3 separate regions of the Mus musculus genome follow, and regions 2 and 3 are each reported to be linked to region 1. The links are microRNA targets in miRTarBase. Many come from high-throughput screens and were not tested one by one. Region 1 holds a microRNA gene; each other region holds the end of a gene's coding sequence.
The links. Region 1 holds the annotated microRNA mmu-miR-9-5p (UCUUUGGUUAUCUAGCUGUAUGA, at 3,070-3,092, shown strand). A microRNA usually pairs through its seed, bases 2 to 8, with sites in the 3' UTR of a target mRNA and lowers its output. Matches are read on the target gene's strand: a 7mer-m8 pairs with bases 2 to 8, a 7mer-A1 pairs with bases 2 to 7 and ends in A, and an 8mer does both.

Region 1 (7,808 bases):
ATTTAATTGACTACATTGCTAATGAACAGACTACCCATAATCCTGATCTTGGCTCATTTCACTCATTGGAGTTCCCATGATGAATACCAAGCGTGGAGACCGGCCTTGTAGTAAGTTGGCATGACTAGTGTTGCCCTAAGAATGTGGTATTTATTACAGCATCTTATTCAGATTCTAGTGGGAGAAGCGTTCAGATATGCAGTGTGTTAACTCATTGTAGATATTGTTTCTAAAAACACATTTTATTGTTAGGTATGGGAATAGAGTCATAATAACTTTCAAATTCAGAAAATATGTGAATAAATAACACCCTCCCAACACATAGATATATATATGTAGCTAGCACACCTAGATACATGTGAAGAAAAGAGATTCTATAAGACCATTTTTGATTTCTTGGGCTTTGGCTTACACAGTTGACTATATCTGATCACGTGCTTATTTTATGTAATACAAGCCAAATCATTAATTACTCTGCTGCTAGTTCTTGGAAAGCAAGGCCACGGTGCTCTTTAATCTTCCAAGCTGCAAAGCTCATTAGGATTTTTACATGATGTCAGAAGTGGCATGCGCTTCACTGAGTTGTTTATGCTGTGACCATATGGTTTAGGAATGAACAAAAACTCTATGAACATGCCTTTAGGATTGGATTGTAGTGTCCGTGTGTATTTTATTTCTGACTTCTCGTTCATAATTTGAAGAGAAATATAGACGAACTCTTTCCACATCTTAGTCTTTTCTCAATAGCCAGTTACAGAATGCTTACCATAAAAGTAAACAAATTAATATAAGGACAAATTGGCATCTCTGTTACTAAGCTGTAAGCCATATCTTAATTGGTGTGATATGTTTAAACTCTTCATTGGAGATGTTTCCTATCATTAAAACACAAACCAAACAAACAAACAAAAAAAACTTGTCAGTCTCTTCTTTACAGAGTTTAGATTTTAGGGCTCTGTATGTGATTAAATAACCAGGTTCTTATTTATGTGTTAAATGAATAAATTAGTGAATTACTGAGAAAAATTTTATTCCAAAAAAATTAATAAATCCAAAAGTATTTTAGCCACTGGGGAAAATAGACACATTATGGAATTGAGAGCATTGTGAGGCACAGGTGATGTGTGCAATGTACATTTAGAATTACTAATTCTCCTTTAGCATGTAACTTAAAGAAAAGCAACATTACTAAAAAATAATTAGTAATTTGAACAATAATCCATAATGTTTACCCACAGAGAACATGCTTCTTATGTAGATTACCATGAATATTTTGTTGAGAGGGATTTGAATGTTAGATATTAGATGTGCTAGACAGATTATCTATTATAAAGGATGAGAAAGAAAAGGATTCTTTGAAGTGATTTTAAAGTCACACTTTAAAAACTCCTAAGACAATGAATGAAGCTAATTAATTAATGAAATGACCTTCTGCTTCTCGATAGAAGGATATGAGTGGGTGGGGCCAGGGAGGTGTGGTAGCTTCCCTCCCTCCCCATCCAGGTGTTGGATCTACATGTTCAGGAGACAAGACTTTTATTTTAATTTTATAAGCAAGTCTAGTGCATTATTGTCCAGTGTGAAATTTATGTTAAAACAGTAGACAAAGGCTCAGCATTTTTGCTACAGCAGAGTTGTGTACAACATTGAAACTATTGCTGCAATGTTTACCTGTGCAGCATGCTAACCCCCACACACACTCTATATGCAAAGCATTTTTAAAAAAGAAGCCCCACTGTTTAGATCGTGCAGTTCGAACTTACAGAACAAATATGCTGCCCTATCGCCACGGTACACAGATAGAAAACATGACTGAGCTGTAAAGCCATTAAAAACATAACACCAAAGCAAATTGTCATTGTAACCATCGACTCACTGCGTAAAAACAGAGCTGATTCCCAGCCCCAGAAAGCGAGGCCCTGCTTTAAGCAATAGTAAAGTGCCTTCCATCTGCCTGCCTATGCAATCTGCCAGAAGAGAAATGCAGGCAAAGAAGTTCCCCAGACCTGAAATGCTTTTATCTATCCTTAGAGAGAGATTTTCTCCATTCTTTGGATATTAGAGCGATCTACACTAGCGCCAAGGAGGTAAAAGGCCGCGGGTTGCTTTTCAAGGAGCAGTCCGTAGTGCTAGTGGATGAAATGTTGATTGAGAATATAGGGACTGCTGCAAAGCTGCTGCTGCCGTCGCCGCCACCGCTGCCGCCGTCGCCGCCGCCGTCGCCTGTGCTACTCCTGGCAGCAGGCGTGGGGCAGTTGGGTGACCACTGATGCATATCAATAACCATGTACTTGAGATTTCTCATGACATCATCATTACCTTGGTCTCCCGCAGTCTCAAACCTTTGACCTTGCCGGGCTGGTCCACAATTTGGCGGTGAAAGCCCCTCCAATGATGGCCCTTTTCTCCTTCTTTCAGACCGGGGCAGCAGTACGCCAGCAAGAGGGCATGCTCTGCCCGCCTAGAAGTCCTAAGAAATCGAGGATCTCCCTTAAAACATTCACATACAAGATATGTGCAATCAAGCTGCCTGCACTTGGTAAAAAAGATCATGATGCCTAACCCAATGATCCGGAGCAGATCTTTGAATCAGCTGTCACTTCTATAGAATGGGATTTCCCCCTTCTTCCTCTTTAACCAGCGTTGGAAACTGCCGATGGCTTTATACATCTCAGTAGAGGAAGGCTAAAGAATCTTCCGTGAGAATGAAGCAATTTACAATGCAAATAGAGGCCTGTGAAGAGAAGGACACTGCTGCTCACCCCCAACAGCTTGCTGCACCTTAGTCTCTGGTCTTAATTTCTGATACTCATAGATGAATTGTTGGCTAACGATACTGGAGATTACTTGCTGGAAGGGGAAAAGTTTGGAATAAACTCTGAATGCAACAGATCTCATTTGGATGTTCTAGCCGCACACACTAAGACAGAAACCAGGTCATGTTTACATGAAAGGAGAAGCTTAAACGCGGCAAGTACCCCGGAGGACTACGCTTCCCTAAAGCCAAAGAGGATCGAGATCTGGAGTTCAGCCAGAGGAAGGCAGCCTTGTGAGGGAAGCGAGTTGTTATCTTTGGTTATCTAGCTGTATGAGTGTATTGGTCTTCATAAAGCTAGATAACCGAAAGTAAAAACTCCTTCAAGGTCACCGAGGAACGTTCCGGAAAGAAAGACTGCAACCAAGAGACAGTAAAAACCAGAAAGGTCAGGAATGCTTATTGAATCTAACTTTTTTTATCTTATGATTGAAAGTGGGATGCAAGAAAATTAAGTGACACGCATATTGAAATCTAAAGGGGCCAGGCTTTGAGGGGCTTGTACAACTGGAGAGGAGAATTGTGTAGTGTTTTTTACGGGTGACGATGCATGTATTTTCTATATTGTTCATTTTGAAGCAAACGTTTACATATGAGGTTTTTTTTTTCTTTTTTTTTCTTAGAAAGCTGTTATAGTGATGTCTGGTACCTCGCTTAAAAATGATTTCATAATTATGTAGATTTGGGCTGTTCCTATCTGAGGCCCCTCCCCCAAGTTTGAAGCTTGTGCCTGGAAACTTTCTATGTATTTGGGTGTGTACATCAAATTCTGTGAAGTTAGACTTTCAGTAAAGCTTATACTGGAAGGTTAATAATTTATATCTACCGAAGACTTAGAGCTAGCAGGGAAAAGGGGTGGGGGCAAAGGCTGATTTTTATTCTTCTATTCAAAATACAAGGACAGATGCTTCTCTGTTCCAAGAGGGTTTCCTTGAGGAAGCTACTGAAGCAGAAAGACATGATGGAGACGAGATCGCCTCCCCTCTTGTCAAAGTGTTAAAAAAATGTTCTGTCTTACTCTGCGCCTAGCATTGGAAATGAAAGTGACATTTACGCCACAACCCACGTGTGCGCCTCCTCTCTTTTTGTTTAAGGATGATCAGGTCTATCCAGGAAACAGCTCTGGCATCCCAAACTGAAATAATTAGGACGTATATAGACCTGACAAAAATGGAAAGGGGGTGGGGAATCTGAGGGTCTGTCTTGCCTAATTGATTCCGCTAAACGGAAAGCAGGAGATGTGAACGGCAGGACGCTCCGATTCCCACGCTCGGGGGCAAGTGGTAAAGCCTGGCCGGCAGCCTATGACAGACAGCCCTGTTGGGGGGTAGGGGTATGAAAAAAACATCAAGCACACACACACCATACTCATCTCCATCGCTTAAGAAAGTAAAGGCATTTCCCACCCACAGCCATCTGCAGCCTCCCAAATGGCAACACCAACTGGTTGGTAGCTGCTATGTACTGTCTCTGTTCATTTTTAAACCTCTGTTTAATCTGGCCATGATTAAATTTGGATTTCTCCTTTGGTTGAAATTTTCACCATTTAAGGAAAACAAGTGGAAAGGGTGCCAAGAGTGCCCCAGAACTGCATGCCCTTCTCAGAGAAGTCCTCAGTATGTGGTTAGGGCCTTGTGACCACCTTTGGCTTTTGTTTTGGCTGTGTTATATTTTAAAGTCATGTCTCATAGCATTCATTATTATGACTTACTTCATCGGGTTGTTTACTTCCTTGTGTGACACACAGGAACTTGGCCTACTTATGCTAATCTACATTCTGGAAATAAAGCTATAAAGTCATCAGTCTGTAGAAAGTTGATTACAATCACAATATGTTAGAGAACTTGTTTTGTTTTAGAATTGTCCTAGCGGATGAGCTTTTTTTTTCCCTTTTCCCCCTCCTCTTCCTTTTCTTCCTCCTCTTCCCTCTTCATCTAAAAGTCACTAGTCCCAGCATAAACTTTGAGGCTTTGGAGAAACCACTGTAGTCCTTTTTTGAAGTTCCTTGCATCCTGTTACATTTTATCAGGCAAACATTTGTATAGGCATTTGCACATAAATACAAGCATTGCAATGAGAAAAAAAATTCCAAAATTGCTTCTTTTCTTTCATATGGCCTAAATTACTGACACTCCCAAATGCATAAGTTTTCTTCAGGGACAGTACATTTTTCTTTATAGCTTCAACTTCTTGTAAGATTGACACCAGAGAAACCTGTAAAGCCACTGGTAGTTTCATTTAGAAAAGCCAAGAGACTTTAATAACACAACTTCTCAGTTTGGCCGCTGTACACGTGCCAAAGTTTGACTGCTGTAGAGGCAGTCGAGAAGACCCTTGCTTATTTACCTTGGAAGCACTGTTTGTGCAAACAAGCTTTCATTGTTAAGTGCCTGTATTCCTTTCATTTGCTTCATGTCCAGGGGTGCTATTTACCTAGAACCATTGTCTACTACAATTAACATTTACATTACAAAGTGTGTGCTTTTCTTTCTCAAGGAGGTTCAATTAAGGCAATAAGATGTTTGCTGGGGAAACCTATTGTTTACTCAAAGCTCTCAATGGAGTCACATTACTGAAGTTTTTGCCTACATCTTGGGTCGTTTATGTAAATATGTTAACTATAACATCTAAGGAAAATAAACAATATTAAAATTATGTGTTTGCCATTGTCATATCCAACTTGCTTTGTATCATACTAATGTTACATAACTTATCGATCAATAAAAATACATTTCAATGTTATTTTCATTTTACTTTTTGCTGTCCCACTGCTCCTGCTGCAACATGTCCCAGATTTTCTTTTTTTCTATTACACATCAAACTTCTGACATTTTGTTTTATTTGTGTGTGTTGAAGGAGGTACCATATCTAAGCATGAGTCTAATGGTGTCCAAGATAATCTCTACAGTGACCTTATCATAAGGTGATATTTCTTTAAAATTTGAAATATTCCGAAGGCACGCACATTGAAGTCAAAAGCAGTGTAACTATCAGTTAAGTAGTTCTTTGAAAGCTAGTTTTAACATTGGCAGAAACCGGATCAAGTTTATTTAGCATACCACTGCATTGTAAACCAGTTGGAGTGAAGTTGCAGGTTGCGTGAGTATGCATGTTAACTAGTGGGAACCAAGGCAGGCTTTGTGAAAGGAGAGCAGCAGATTGCTGTGCAAGGCCAATGTTAAAAAGGCAGCTGAATTTAACACCATCTGGAAGAAAAGATCCCTTCACGACTTTCTCACACCGTCAGACAAAACTAGTGTCTCTTGTTCCTAGCCCTTGTCTATGCAACCATACAATACTGAGTCATTATACTTTTGCTGAGAGAAAATTTGAGAACACAATATGGGTAACCAGTGAATGACCAAGTTTCATTGTGCCCGTCTAAGTCGATTGAAATCTACGTCTAGGGCTATGAATGGCTGTATTGTTTTCCTCACCAGGGCTGTACTAAATGTCAGCACAGTGTAAAGAAAAACTTGAAGTCTGCAAATAACTTACCAGATCTCAATTATAATATTTTCCCACACTAGAACTAATATCATTGCAAGGGGTTACATTGCAGAAAATACAAAAAGAAATGAGAAGAAATAAGAGAACTCATTACGAAGTTATTTTATCTAGACAAACATTTTAATTTGCTGATGAGACATTCAGGACACAGGTCTAGTTGAAGAGTGGAGTTCATTACTTGGATGTTGAAGTTCTAAAACTGCTTCTTGTGTAATTAAAATAAATTAAAAACAAATATCCACTTCAGTCTGAAAGTCTGATTGAGCATAAACGGACTCCAATTGGTTTTTATTGCTGTAGTTCTGCTTAGAAGCTGTTAGTGTGACTCCAACTTAAATTTTGCTTTGAGTTTCAGCATACTACTCTTTCCAAGTTTGACTGGTGATGGACAGACACTGTAAATGAACACCATAGAAGTATATTTCCCAAGACACACAAGAGCTTACGAGTGTATTCTAGTGCCCTGTACACTTTCTTTTTATAGTTTCTAAGAGTTTTTACACACGTGTATCAATCAGTTATCTTTCAGGCTAATGTTCACATGATTTATTTGACTGTAAACAGAAAAGAGTAACAGAACAGTTCAGAAAGAGTAAAAGAAGCTGATGGTTCACGCTTTATTGAGATGTCTATTTTAAGTATAATTGACTTTGCAGTTTTGCTATTGTATCACCAAGTTCTTCACATGTAAGTGCAAAACAGCGAATAACTGCCATTTTGCTGAATAACACATCTGAGTTCCCAATGTCAAAGGTATTTGTGTGTGTGTGTATTCCTAAATAGGAACACCAACTGCAGTCTTTGACATTTAGAATATTTTAGTAAAATATTTAAAAAGAGGATGATCAAATGATAGCTCTAAAAGTGAATGTAAAGCTATAGGCAACTTATTTCCCTTGCTTTATTTTGTGATGTTACAAACTAACAGTGAAAAGTCACTCAATAATCAAATTATAAGGCATATATCATTAAACACAGAAAAAAAAAATCCAACCCAACAACAAAGATAGAAATTGAATAGAAGTTAAAACATAGATATATAGAAGATGTCTATAATCTTGGCAAAATAGGCATGAGTATGTTTTTCAGTGCCTTTCATTTTCTGAAGTTGCTATGAATATGTATAATAATAAAATAAATACACTATTTATATTAAAAATGGAATGCTTTTTTCAAAATAGCTTTTCTTCAGGTCTTCTTAAAGCATTACATTTTGTATTAATAGTGTTCTTTATGTTTATTTTAAGAATTTATATGACTTTCTTATTTGAAAATATGTAAAATTCTAATGTGATTTTGTGTTGTTTGATGATAATATAAAATTCATTTAAATAATGAGATGAGAATGCTTACATTTCAAATTGAAAACCACTTTCTATTCATAGACTACGTAAACATTTTAAGAACTTTTATGTTTAAAAGGGTGTTTTTTTTTTTTAAGTGGCTAGATGGGGGCTGGAGAGATGCTTCACTGGTTAAGAGT
Region 2 (4,979 bases), not on the chromosome of region 1:
CACCATGGTGGCGGTTCTGGCCTGTGCTGCCATCAAGAGCCATGTCTGGGGTCGGTCCATGGCCCTGCAGCAGCAGGAGTCTGCAACCACCAAAGGCCAGTCTGATGTCTCTGGTCTGAGCCACTACCTGGGGCCATCTTGATGTCTGGGGACTGTGCAGAATCAGCCCCCACCCCTTGTTAGGGCATCATGAGCTGTCCCTGGGGCATGAGATCAGGAGAGCTGTCCCTGCCTGTCACCGGCTGCAGCAATCGGGAGAATGGGCCCTGCACCTTGCTTGGGTCACAATAGAGCTGATCCTGGTGGCAGGGGCACTGGCGAGCTGGCCCTGAGGGTTTCAGTGTAGGAGAGCTGGGCCCACAACATGTCTGCTGTACAGAGGTGAACATGAGGCAGAAAGGCCCCCCACCTCATCCTTTGCCACCTATGCCAGGTGAGAGAGCTGGCCTCATTCCTCACACAGCTGCCACACTTAGGAAAGCAGGCTCATCACCTCACCTGGGCAGGACAGTAGAGCTGGCCCTGATGGTGTGGGCGTGGATGAGCAGTCCCTGAGGGCATGAAAGCAGAGAGCTGGTTCTGCCCCTTGCTGCCATTGGATGACCTAGCAGGGGCAGAGATGGAGAGCTTGCAGGCTGGCCAACTCAGCTACCTCCCAGGCCCAGATCCAGGACTTTAAATCAGCCCACCCCAGCATCTACCCCACAGATGAACTGCTGGAGTTTATGAAGGGGCAGTCCTACAGATCCAAAACTATAGGATCTCCATGACACAGGGCAACAACAGGACTCCAAGAGGAGTCTCAGAGGGTTCCAGTATTGATAGAGTCGCAGAATCCAGAAGCCTCAGACCAGACTCAAGGAAGTGAACATTTGCAAGCAAAGTGTAGACAAAAGGACATACTGTGTGACACACTAAGATTTCCACAAGATCTTTTTTCTTTTGGCAGGGAGGTTGCAAGGGTGAAGGGTGGGTACCAGGGAACAGGGAGATGAATGGGACTGAGGTACATGGTGTGAAATTCACACAAAAAAAGTAGTTTTAAAATAGCAACCAAAATGTTTGATGCATAAAAAGAATAACACACTGTGACTGAGTGGACTTTATCGTGGAAATGTAAAAACTGTCTATCTGCATAGACACACGACCAATGTACAGACATGCAAACAGAACACTCATATACATACATTTTTTTTAAAAAGGTTACTTTTAAGCTAAATCAAGACAGCTTGGTATGGAAAGTGGAGCCACTGGTAGGTGGGTGAAACTAGGGAATCCCTAAGATAAGCTCACACTTAGAGCCAATTAAATTACAGATACAAAATGAACTCAGTAAAGAAACATGACCTCGGGCTAAAGAGATGGCTCAGTGGTTAGGAGCACGGACTGCTCTTCCAAAGGTCCTGAGTTCAAATCCCAACAACCACATGGTGGCTCACAACCACCTGTAATAAGATCTGATGCCCCCTTCTGGTGTGTCTGAAGACAGCTTTAGTGTACTTAGATATAAAATAAATTAATAAATAAGTCTAAAAAGAAAGAGAGAGAGAGAGAGAGAGAGAGAGAGAGAGAGAGAGAGGAAGGAAGGAAGGAAGGAAGGAAGAAAGAAAGAAAGAAAGAAAGAAAGAAAGAAAGAAAGAAAGAAAGAAAGAAAGAAAGAAAAGAAAAGAAGAGAAAAGAAACAATGACCTCTCTCTCAAGGTATCTGAGAACAGATACCCACATGTAACGTAATCATGTGTTAAAGGCACACCTAATCTTTTAAAAACTAAACTGCTTGTATGTCCCACACATCTAGATGCAGCTGATTTTTGACAAACATGTCCAAGATTGTTTCACTTCTGAGAGTAGAGGGAGGAGGGGGAGAGACTGAGAACGCCACGGCGCTGTAAGAACCTGGATTGGGGGGGGGTGACATAACTGCAGAGGGTTTTGGTTATGGTCCCATGAATCCTATTATTTGTCTTCTCCATTCTCACAGACAGAGGAAAGCACAAAGAGTGCTGTCTATCAGTTACGTCAAAAGTGAGCAGAGGACCAAAATCAGACCTCCCTCTGTGACCTTGGCCTAGTAATGTGAGCATTCAGGGCACCGTGCGTAGCGTCCACAGCGGGATCTCCTGTGTTATCTCACACAATGTTCCCTCATGCTCTTGCTTCTTCCTTGCGCATAAAGGTCGCTCGCTCGCTCATACATTACCCTGATTCATCCTCACTGTGGCTGTGCTGGGTTGAATTCGCCAAGGACATGTCAACAGTTAGACTTTTCATGAAAACTGAAAAACATATCCATCCCACATGGACTGTATTTCAACCGAGTTTAAAACTGAAGCTTGCTGGGTGTGGTGACACACACCTTTAATCCAAGCCCTGGGAGGCAGAGGTGGTAGGTGGGTCTCTACCAGTCTGAAGTCAGCCTGATCTACACAGAGAATTCCAGACCAGCCAGCTGGTTGGTTTATGTAGTAAGACAATGTCTCGAATAACAAACAAAATTACCAAAGCTTAAATCTCCCCCCCCACACACACACACACAGACAATATCTTCTTTTTGTACATGTATGTGTATGTTTGTGTATACCATCTTTTATGTGCATGCATGGAGACAGGTTCGTGTGTACAACATGAAGTCAATGTTCAGGGTCTTCCTGAATCACTCTTATTTTCTGGGAAACTGTCATTGAACCTGGAACTCCCCAACTCAGCCAGACAGGCTGGTAAGCAAGGGCCAGGGATCTGAGTGTCTCAGCCCTCCCTGCCCAGGCCCCCATTGCCACAGCCACTGGCATGGGCCACCGCACTTGACTTTTTCCGTGCATCCTGGAAATCCAAATGTACACTCTCTGACTGAGCCACCTCTCCAGCACACATCTGAGCTGAGTATCTCAGTTGAGTCTGAATGCAGCCCCATGCCCTTGTCCTCTCTGCTGCAGAAATGGGCTAAGGCCTGACAGATCCAATTTCAATGTCACTCTGCTGGCCTGGTGACTAAGGAATGCCTGGGCTGACAATGCAGTGAAAGTATGGCAGGGTTCTCTTCCTTTGTAGTTAGTCGCCCTAAGTTACCCCCAGTCTAGGACTCTTGTTTGAACACATACAAAATAAAAATGATCTAAGGTATGCAGCAAAGCTTACAGGTTTATTAGTGGTACGTGTGGTAACTTCTCTTTCAACGTTTCATTTCTAGCAACAAATCCATAAAAGCTTCATTTTTATACAAATAGTTTTATTACAAATTTGAATTCTTAAGAAATACACATTTAAAGAAATTACACAGAAGGCCTTAGTAGTCTTAAAAACTTTTTTTTTTTTTTTTGGAGGGTGGGTACTTTTAGTGAAATGTCACTTCAAGCATAGTGGTCCGAGTCTGCCCTCCTGCGACCTGTCCACTCCCTGCAGGGGCTGTGTCACAGCTCGAGAGGAGCTGGGAAGTTGCCTGTGTGTGCTCAGGTGTGAAATGCCTGCCAGGATGCAGGATGAAGGAGGCTAACAAAGGCCTTGGCTGTCGTACGGGAAGTCAGTCATTCAGTCTGTGGTTAGTGTTGCAAACCCTGAAAATACTCCACGCAGAGCAGAAGCAAGAAGCGCCAGGCACAGGGCTCATTATCAGACACCATGTTTAGGAATGGGTTTGGCTTTGGCTATCTATACACCTCCTCTGGTTTAGGAGTGAGTTTGAGGAAAGCTGGTGTTTCACATTCAGTGGCCTGATGTTGGTAACCCTGTGAAAGGATAGTACAGTTTCTCCAGAGACGAAAACCAAGTGCGCTTTATTTAACAACAGGCTCTACGCTAGAACTTGACCTGCCTAATTGCTGACACCTATATAAATTACTAATATATATATATATTTATTTACTTATTTATTTATTTTCCATCTAACCTTTGGACCATCTTTATTCCACAGGAAAGCCATGACTTCCACAAAAGCAGCTGCATAGTACCACACAGGGCATAAGTTTGTGTTTGGGGCTGAAACGATGGAGTTCCATGTAGAAAGTGGAAGAAACCAGTTCCCTTGACTGTTCTCTGCATAGCCCCTCGAGGGACCTGATGTGGAAACACTGGACAGTGGGTTGGACAGCACTCACATCTGGGGTGACAGGATGAAGCGGGCTGTGGGCTGTGTGGAGAGCGCCTCACGCCCCTAGCACCTTTGGGTTTCTTATGGAGTTCTCGCCCCAGACATCAGTGCACTGGATTGCAAAATGCAATTCATCTTTTATTGGATCAGGAGCGCCATTTGGTATGTGCCATTATGGAAAGCTCTCCGCTGCCTGTCCTTCTCCTTCAGCAAACAGAGGCCAACGAAGCGGGGTGTGTTAGTTACGCGAATCCCTATAAGGCACTTTATGGTTTTCATAGTGGACAGTGAGGTACACAGGATATAATTCTAGGGTTCATTGCTGTTACAAATACAATGGGAGGGAGAAGAGGACAAGGGGGGGGAGTAGCACCATGTTGTGACGGTGGCAGAGGCGAGCATCATAGTTATGTTCTTCTCATGCACACTTGGCAGCGGCTGACGTGTGTTCGCAGCTCCCCTGCCTTCAAGGTGGATGGCGTGGGCTTCCTGCAACACAACAGAGTTACACCGTCAGCAGCAGCAGCAACAGCGAGTCATGGAGCATCAGAAATGCAGGTGCTTACAGAATCAGAAATTCTGTAGCCCCAGCTCCAGAGCCCTATGATCCCTAAGGGACCAGATAAACATCCGTCTACATTGATGATAAACAGCAACTGGGGTCTGTGGTTCTACAACATGGGAATGTTTTAGACATTACCTACATGCACGAGCCCACCGGAGCCCAGCCAAGATCACACCTCTCAGCCATAGGACTAATTAGCTTTTCTTTTTTTTTTTTTAAGAAATATGTATTTTTATTAATTTATTTATTTTTCTTTATACAAGCACACTGTAACTATCTTCAGATACACAGCAGGAGAGTGCATCAGATCCCGTTACAGATGGTTGTGAA
Region 3 (4,979 bases), not on the chromosome of region 1:
ATAATGAAATAGCTTTATGCTCTTCACAGAGTAGGGGTGGGTAGAAAAGTTTTACTTCTCTGTACTTGTTCTCTTTAAATGTGTTTCCTATGTTGATGGAAGAAGTGGCTGGTATCCTTTCAAATATGACTGTGTGGCTGTCCGCCTCGAGGCAGCAGAGCCTGTCTAAGCAAGTGTGGACAATGCTCACTGTTTTTCATGGCCCAGAGATCAGAACATAGTCGTGCTTCTATTTTAAACTCTGAAAGGGATCAGGTCTTCTTAACCGTGGGAAGAGTGCCCACTTCAAGTTAGGCCTTCAACTAATGGATTTGGGGAGCTTAAGAAGGTTGGCTGCTTAAGCTCTTAGGACCACTGGGTCTTTAACCTGACATGCCCTCTCCCCCAGGCAAGTTCACTGAGGAGTACACAATGTTCTTTATTCCATGTAACAAATACGCCACGGCTAAAATCACAAGGTCGCATCCCCACAGATGTTCAGAGTTTAAAATGATTTACGAGTGTTTTGACCACATGTATGTATGTGCACCATGTGCACGCCTGGTGCCTGCAGAAGTCAGAGGGTGTTGGATCTCCAGATACTGGAGCTGCAGATGGTTGTGGGTCACCATGTGTGTGCTGAGGACCCAGGTCATCTACAAGAGCAACAAGTGGTCTTAACCTCAGAGCCATCTCTCCAGCACCCCCACCCCATTCATATAACATTCATAAATGTTACGAAGCATTTCAAATGATCTTCTGACCCTGGGGTAGGAGCATGTCTTGGCAATCTGGAGGCTGTGGAAACACTGGGCAGCAACCTACACGGGGCACACTGGAAGGAGTTCAAAATCTGCTGCTCTGCTCCTTCTAGAGGGAATGATGGCAGACAGAACCAGATTCCCTGCCTCATCTGCTGGGCCTCCTGAGCATAAGGATTTGGGATCCATTATGATGTTATTAGAGTCATAGGTTAGAGCTCTCAAGAGGGAACAAGTGTGTGTAGGGCTTTCTCCAGACGTGGCACTTACTCATTTTTAAGGTACCAAGGAGAAAACAAGCAGCTGTCTTTGTATTCCCTGCGACCTTGATTGTCAGCCTTGGGAATTTAGCTAGCTCCAACTCTGGGGGAGGGAAGGGCCCCGTTACAAGCTCAACTAGAGATCACGCAGGTACTGCTTGCCAATGTCCATGGACTTTAAGCACACGTCGTAAACAGTATACATTTTAAAGTTCCAAAGCTCTGGGAAATTCTCACAGTCAAACTCCTGAGGTGCTCTTTCCATTTAGAAATGTGTGCAGACATGTTGGGGCAAAGACTTCCTAGTTCACATAGCACAGTGCCTCTTGTCAACATTTGCTTTCGGTCAGTTGATCATTCTTCACAACCACACAGATGGCAAGCAGAGCTGGGATGTAGATCTTCCTCCTCAAAGCCCATGACCCGTGAGGTTTAATGACCGGCGTATTTATGTCGGCAGTTAATCACTGAGGCAATAAATGACTTCTGGCTTTGCAGGGCATCTCAGAGTCCTGACCCTGCCTCCTGCTATCATGACTGGTACTTCCTTTGAGGCCTGGGGATCTCATATAAGTAACTTTCTCTAAAATACATATTTTTTTTCCTTGGCTGTTCCTCCCATCATAAATGTTTCTGAATAGATAACAAACCAGATGAAATTTGAGCATTAGAAGCCTTTTGCTTTAAACTTTAGTGTGATGTTCAGCCAAGAGCAACAGCTGTTGTGCCAAGGAGACCAAGTTCAACTCAGCTTTCTTGAGGAAGTTTTATAGACAAACTGGCATGATCACTTGGAAAAGTCTCCCCATGAGAACCAAGGAGGTGTGTAGAACTCTGATTCTTCTCAATGTTATGTAGGCCCATGGTGTGTATGAGTGCAGGCATGCACACGCCAGTGTGTGAGACCACACACAGCTGTGTGGACTCTGTAGGTTGGACTCTGGTCACCTTGAGTGCCTAGCAAGCCACTCTTGACCTGCTGACAATCCTTCCTTTAATGGCTTTTCCCCCTTCTGCACTTTCTAAATTTTTACAAACTTCTGGGGAAAAAATTGTTTGCTTTTTTTTTCTGGCAAGAATGAGATTGGAAAACAGCAGAGATTATTTCCGTGTAATGTCTCTTGTGTCATTTCTGTATAAAGAACACTTTTAGTTATTTATTTATAGAAGACTCACAGAATTAGAGATTTCCCAAGGCCTCGAACTGTGGGTGTTCCGTCTTTGGTGACTGAGGTGGTAGACAGGCTTACTCAAACACAGCCCTCGCTGAGAGTTTAAACGTTTATTTAAAACAGAAATGCCACACCACTCCATCCTCATCCTTCCCAGCTTCAGGCTAACAATAAGCTGGCTCTTCAGCCAAGTGTTGGCACAGAGGATAAACGCAGGCTATACTGTAACTCAAAGCAACACTACCGGCAAGCTTCAAACACAGAGCACTGCATAGAGGATAAACAGGACAATTTACGAAGATTTAGCTATAGAAAACCGTTTGAAGACATTTCTGCTGTCTTGACTGTTACTCAACCCAGTGCATGGTTGTGACTTTTGAACTGGTTTTTGTTTGCATAGCTGTTTGGTAGGGGAGAACATCTTATGGTTGTCCTAGGCACAATTCTGGAAAGTGCAAATTGTCTCTAAGGCACAGAACTTAGATTCCCAGCTAGAGTAATAGCAAATCTAGACTTCCCGAAGGAATATACTAGAGAACCGCCGCCATGCTCTACTTGAGCACGGCTCCCTAGGATTCCTGCCTGCCTCAGCATGCACTGTCACCCCACAGTCAGCAACATGCCCACACCCCTCAGCTCCAGAGCAGAAGCAATGCTCGTACTGAACACCTTAAACCCTGCCTCTCAGGCCTGCTGAGATGGTAAGCGTAAGGATACAGGACCTTGAAAGGCCAGCCAGTCCTGACGAAAACCAAAGCTGCATTGACCAAACTGAACCAAAACTCTCTGCAGGGTTTACTGCCAGACCCCTAGAACTTGTAACCTTACGTCAGGTTTGGGCTTTCCCCTATTCTAGGAATAAGCCTCAGTGCTGAAAGCAGTACCACTGTACTGTGCTTCTCAGAACTGAGAAAACAAGGGACATCAATGATGCCACTGGACAGAGCTGCCCATCCTCAGAGGTGGGACTTCCTCCCAGCACCAGCCTCTATACCACTAGCTTAAGGAAATGGCAAAATTTCTCCTGCATAGGTAGGTCCTCCTGCAATATTAAGAGAGATAGCCAACCTTTTTTTTGGGGGGGGGGTTTGGTTAAATGAAACAATATTAATTTAGCTGTGTGTAGTACAGAGGATATGGTACTTATCAAAGGAGCTGCTGTGGCCTCAAACACAAGCAATCCATTAGACTTGGTGGAAGTGCAAGGCTCACATTTAAGGGAAACTATCAACTGCTGGCCTAGAAGGTTTCTCTTCTAGGACATACACTGTCCTTGGAGAAGGTGGCTGCTCCTCTCAACAAGAACACAGATGTGAGCTTGAAGCCAATCCCCTCCTACTCGGCAGGTTCTATCTGTCAAGCTTTTGTGACCCCAAGGATTTGGTGCTGGCTTTGGGCTTCTCAAGTACAAAGATGATACTGATTTACTGGGTATGACATGGCTCCAAAACACACCAAAGGAAAAAATACTGACTAGACAAAGACAGGGAGTGCCCAGGGCTGCTCATCCCATTCAGATGGCCACGATGCTAGAGGTACAGAGAAACCTCCAAAGGGCAGTATCACTGAGGTCCTCCCAGATAGCAAGGCAAGGCACTGTAGGAAGGGTTACCTCCCCCTTGACTTTCCCCCACAGCTCGACATACTCCCCGAGGAGGGTGTAGACATCTTGTGTCTTGGAGGGAGGCACCCCCACCCTGTACTGACTGTAGCCCCAGAGTCCGGCCGTCGTGATGAGGGCCTGCCCTTTCTCTGCTCCTCACTGAAGCTTCAAACATCCACGGTGAAAGCAACCTGAGCTTTCTCATGATCACCCAGCTGCACGAAGTAACTGAACTTCCTGAAAATAAGCTCTAGACTGACGCTACCACTAAGTTTTCTTGGACTCCAGGCTTCTGAGAGGGCATGAATACTTTCCACTCTCTGGAGGACCCTGGGCAGCCCACTCCATTTTTATATTTTCCTTCATCCATCCAGATGTGCAATGCCTGGTGCTTAAATCCCAAAGCAGCTTCCAATTAGTGATGAGAATGATAAACAGAAAATGAGCTGCTACCAGTGCAGTTAAGGTGAGTGCTGTGTCTCCTCTTCAAAGGTGGGCTCAGAAGATGAGGTACAGAGCTGCTGTTGCTATGGCAACACTGATGACAAAGCCAGGTCCACAGGACCCTTCCATTCTCCCACACAGTAAAATCACTCCTAGATCCTATCTAAAAGGCAATGCCACTCTCCAAATGAACAAGGAAAGTGCTTTTGAGCCTCCTTCTGCCCTGCACTCTGTGTCTGCAAGTGAGCAAAGCCAGGAAAGCTGCTCTCTGCACTCAGTAAGTGTGCGGTGAAGTTCTTTGGGTCCCAGTTTCCTGAGGGCTATGTGGGCTCAGGAGACTAGAGGCTGGGTCGACAAGAGTCTGTTCCGAGGAGGCACCAGGACTCCGAGTCTAAGTCAGGCTTTGGATCCATTTCCATTTCTTCCTTTGCTGTCTGGGTTCCTCTGGAGTGCATCCCCACCTGTGCAGACAAAGCAGTTCCACATTAGCTACAGTGCCTGGCCACGGCACCAGGCTGCTTTCAATAGCGTCTGACCTCTCAGGGTTTGCTGTCAGTCTACGGAAGGCTTGGCGGCACTGCCTTGGAAACAGGCTCTATCTTTACACTTAGGCAGTAGAGCAACAGCTGCTCTGGTTTGTCCAGCTCTACAGCATTTGGGGGATGTAGTATGAAAAGTGAACTGGCTGGGGGTCTCAGTGCACACTTTTGATTCCAGCACCCAGGAGGCAGAAGCATGAAGGAGGATTGTCTCCATGAGT

Region 2: the mRNA of Col4a1 is a reported target of mmu-miR-9-5p. The part of its 3' UTR that is shown has no 7-base or 8-base seed match.
Region 3: miRTarBase lists Nek9 as a target of mmu-miR-9-5p. Seed matches in the 3' UTR shown: 7mer-A1 at 4,515-4,521.

What each region holds. Positions count from the first base shown.
Region 1 is chr13:83,735,752-83,743,559 of GRCm38, forward strand. Mir9-2 (microRNA 9-2) reads left to right here and starts at 3,063; the gene lies at 3,063-3,134. C130071C03Rik (RIKEN cDNA C130071C03 gene) reads left to right here. Exons shown (of 4, transcript NR_152245.1): 4 at 2,419-5,557. Gm51268 (predicted gene, 51268) reads right to left here and starts at 3,125; the gene lies at 3,070-3,125.
Region 2 is chr8:11,195,310-11,200,288 of GRCm38, forward strand. It overlaps Col4a1 (collagen, type IV, alpha 1), which reads right to left. Exons shown (of 52, transcript NM_009931.2): 52 at 3,114-4,573. The coding sequence ends at 4,492. All of the region lies in intron 1 of Gm15418 (a long non-coding RNA gene), which reads left to right. Among named protein-coding and RNA genes, the nearest start is that of Gm15418, 10 kb to the left of the region's middle.
Region 3 is chr12:85,297,247-85,302,225 of GRCm38, forward strand. Nek9 (NIMA (never in mitosis gene a)-related expressed kinase 9) reads right to left here. Exons shown (of 22, transcript NM_145138.2): 22 at 2,268-4,680. The coding sequence ends at 4,558. Zc2hc1c (zinc finger, C2HC-type containing 1C) reads left to right here. Exons shown (of 3, transcript NM_172414.4): 3 at 1-2,112. Among named protein-coding and RNA genes, the nearest start is that of Zc2hc1c, 11 kb to the left of the region's middle.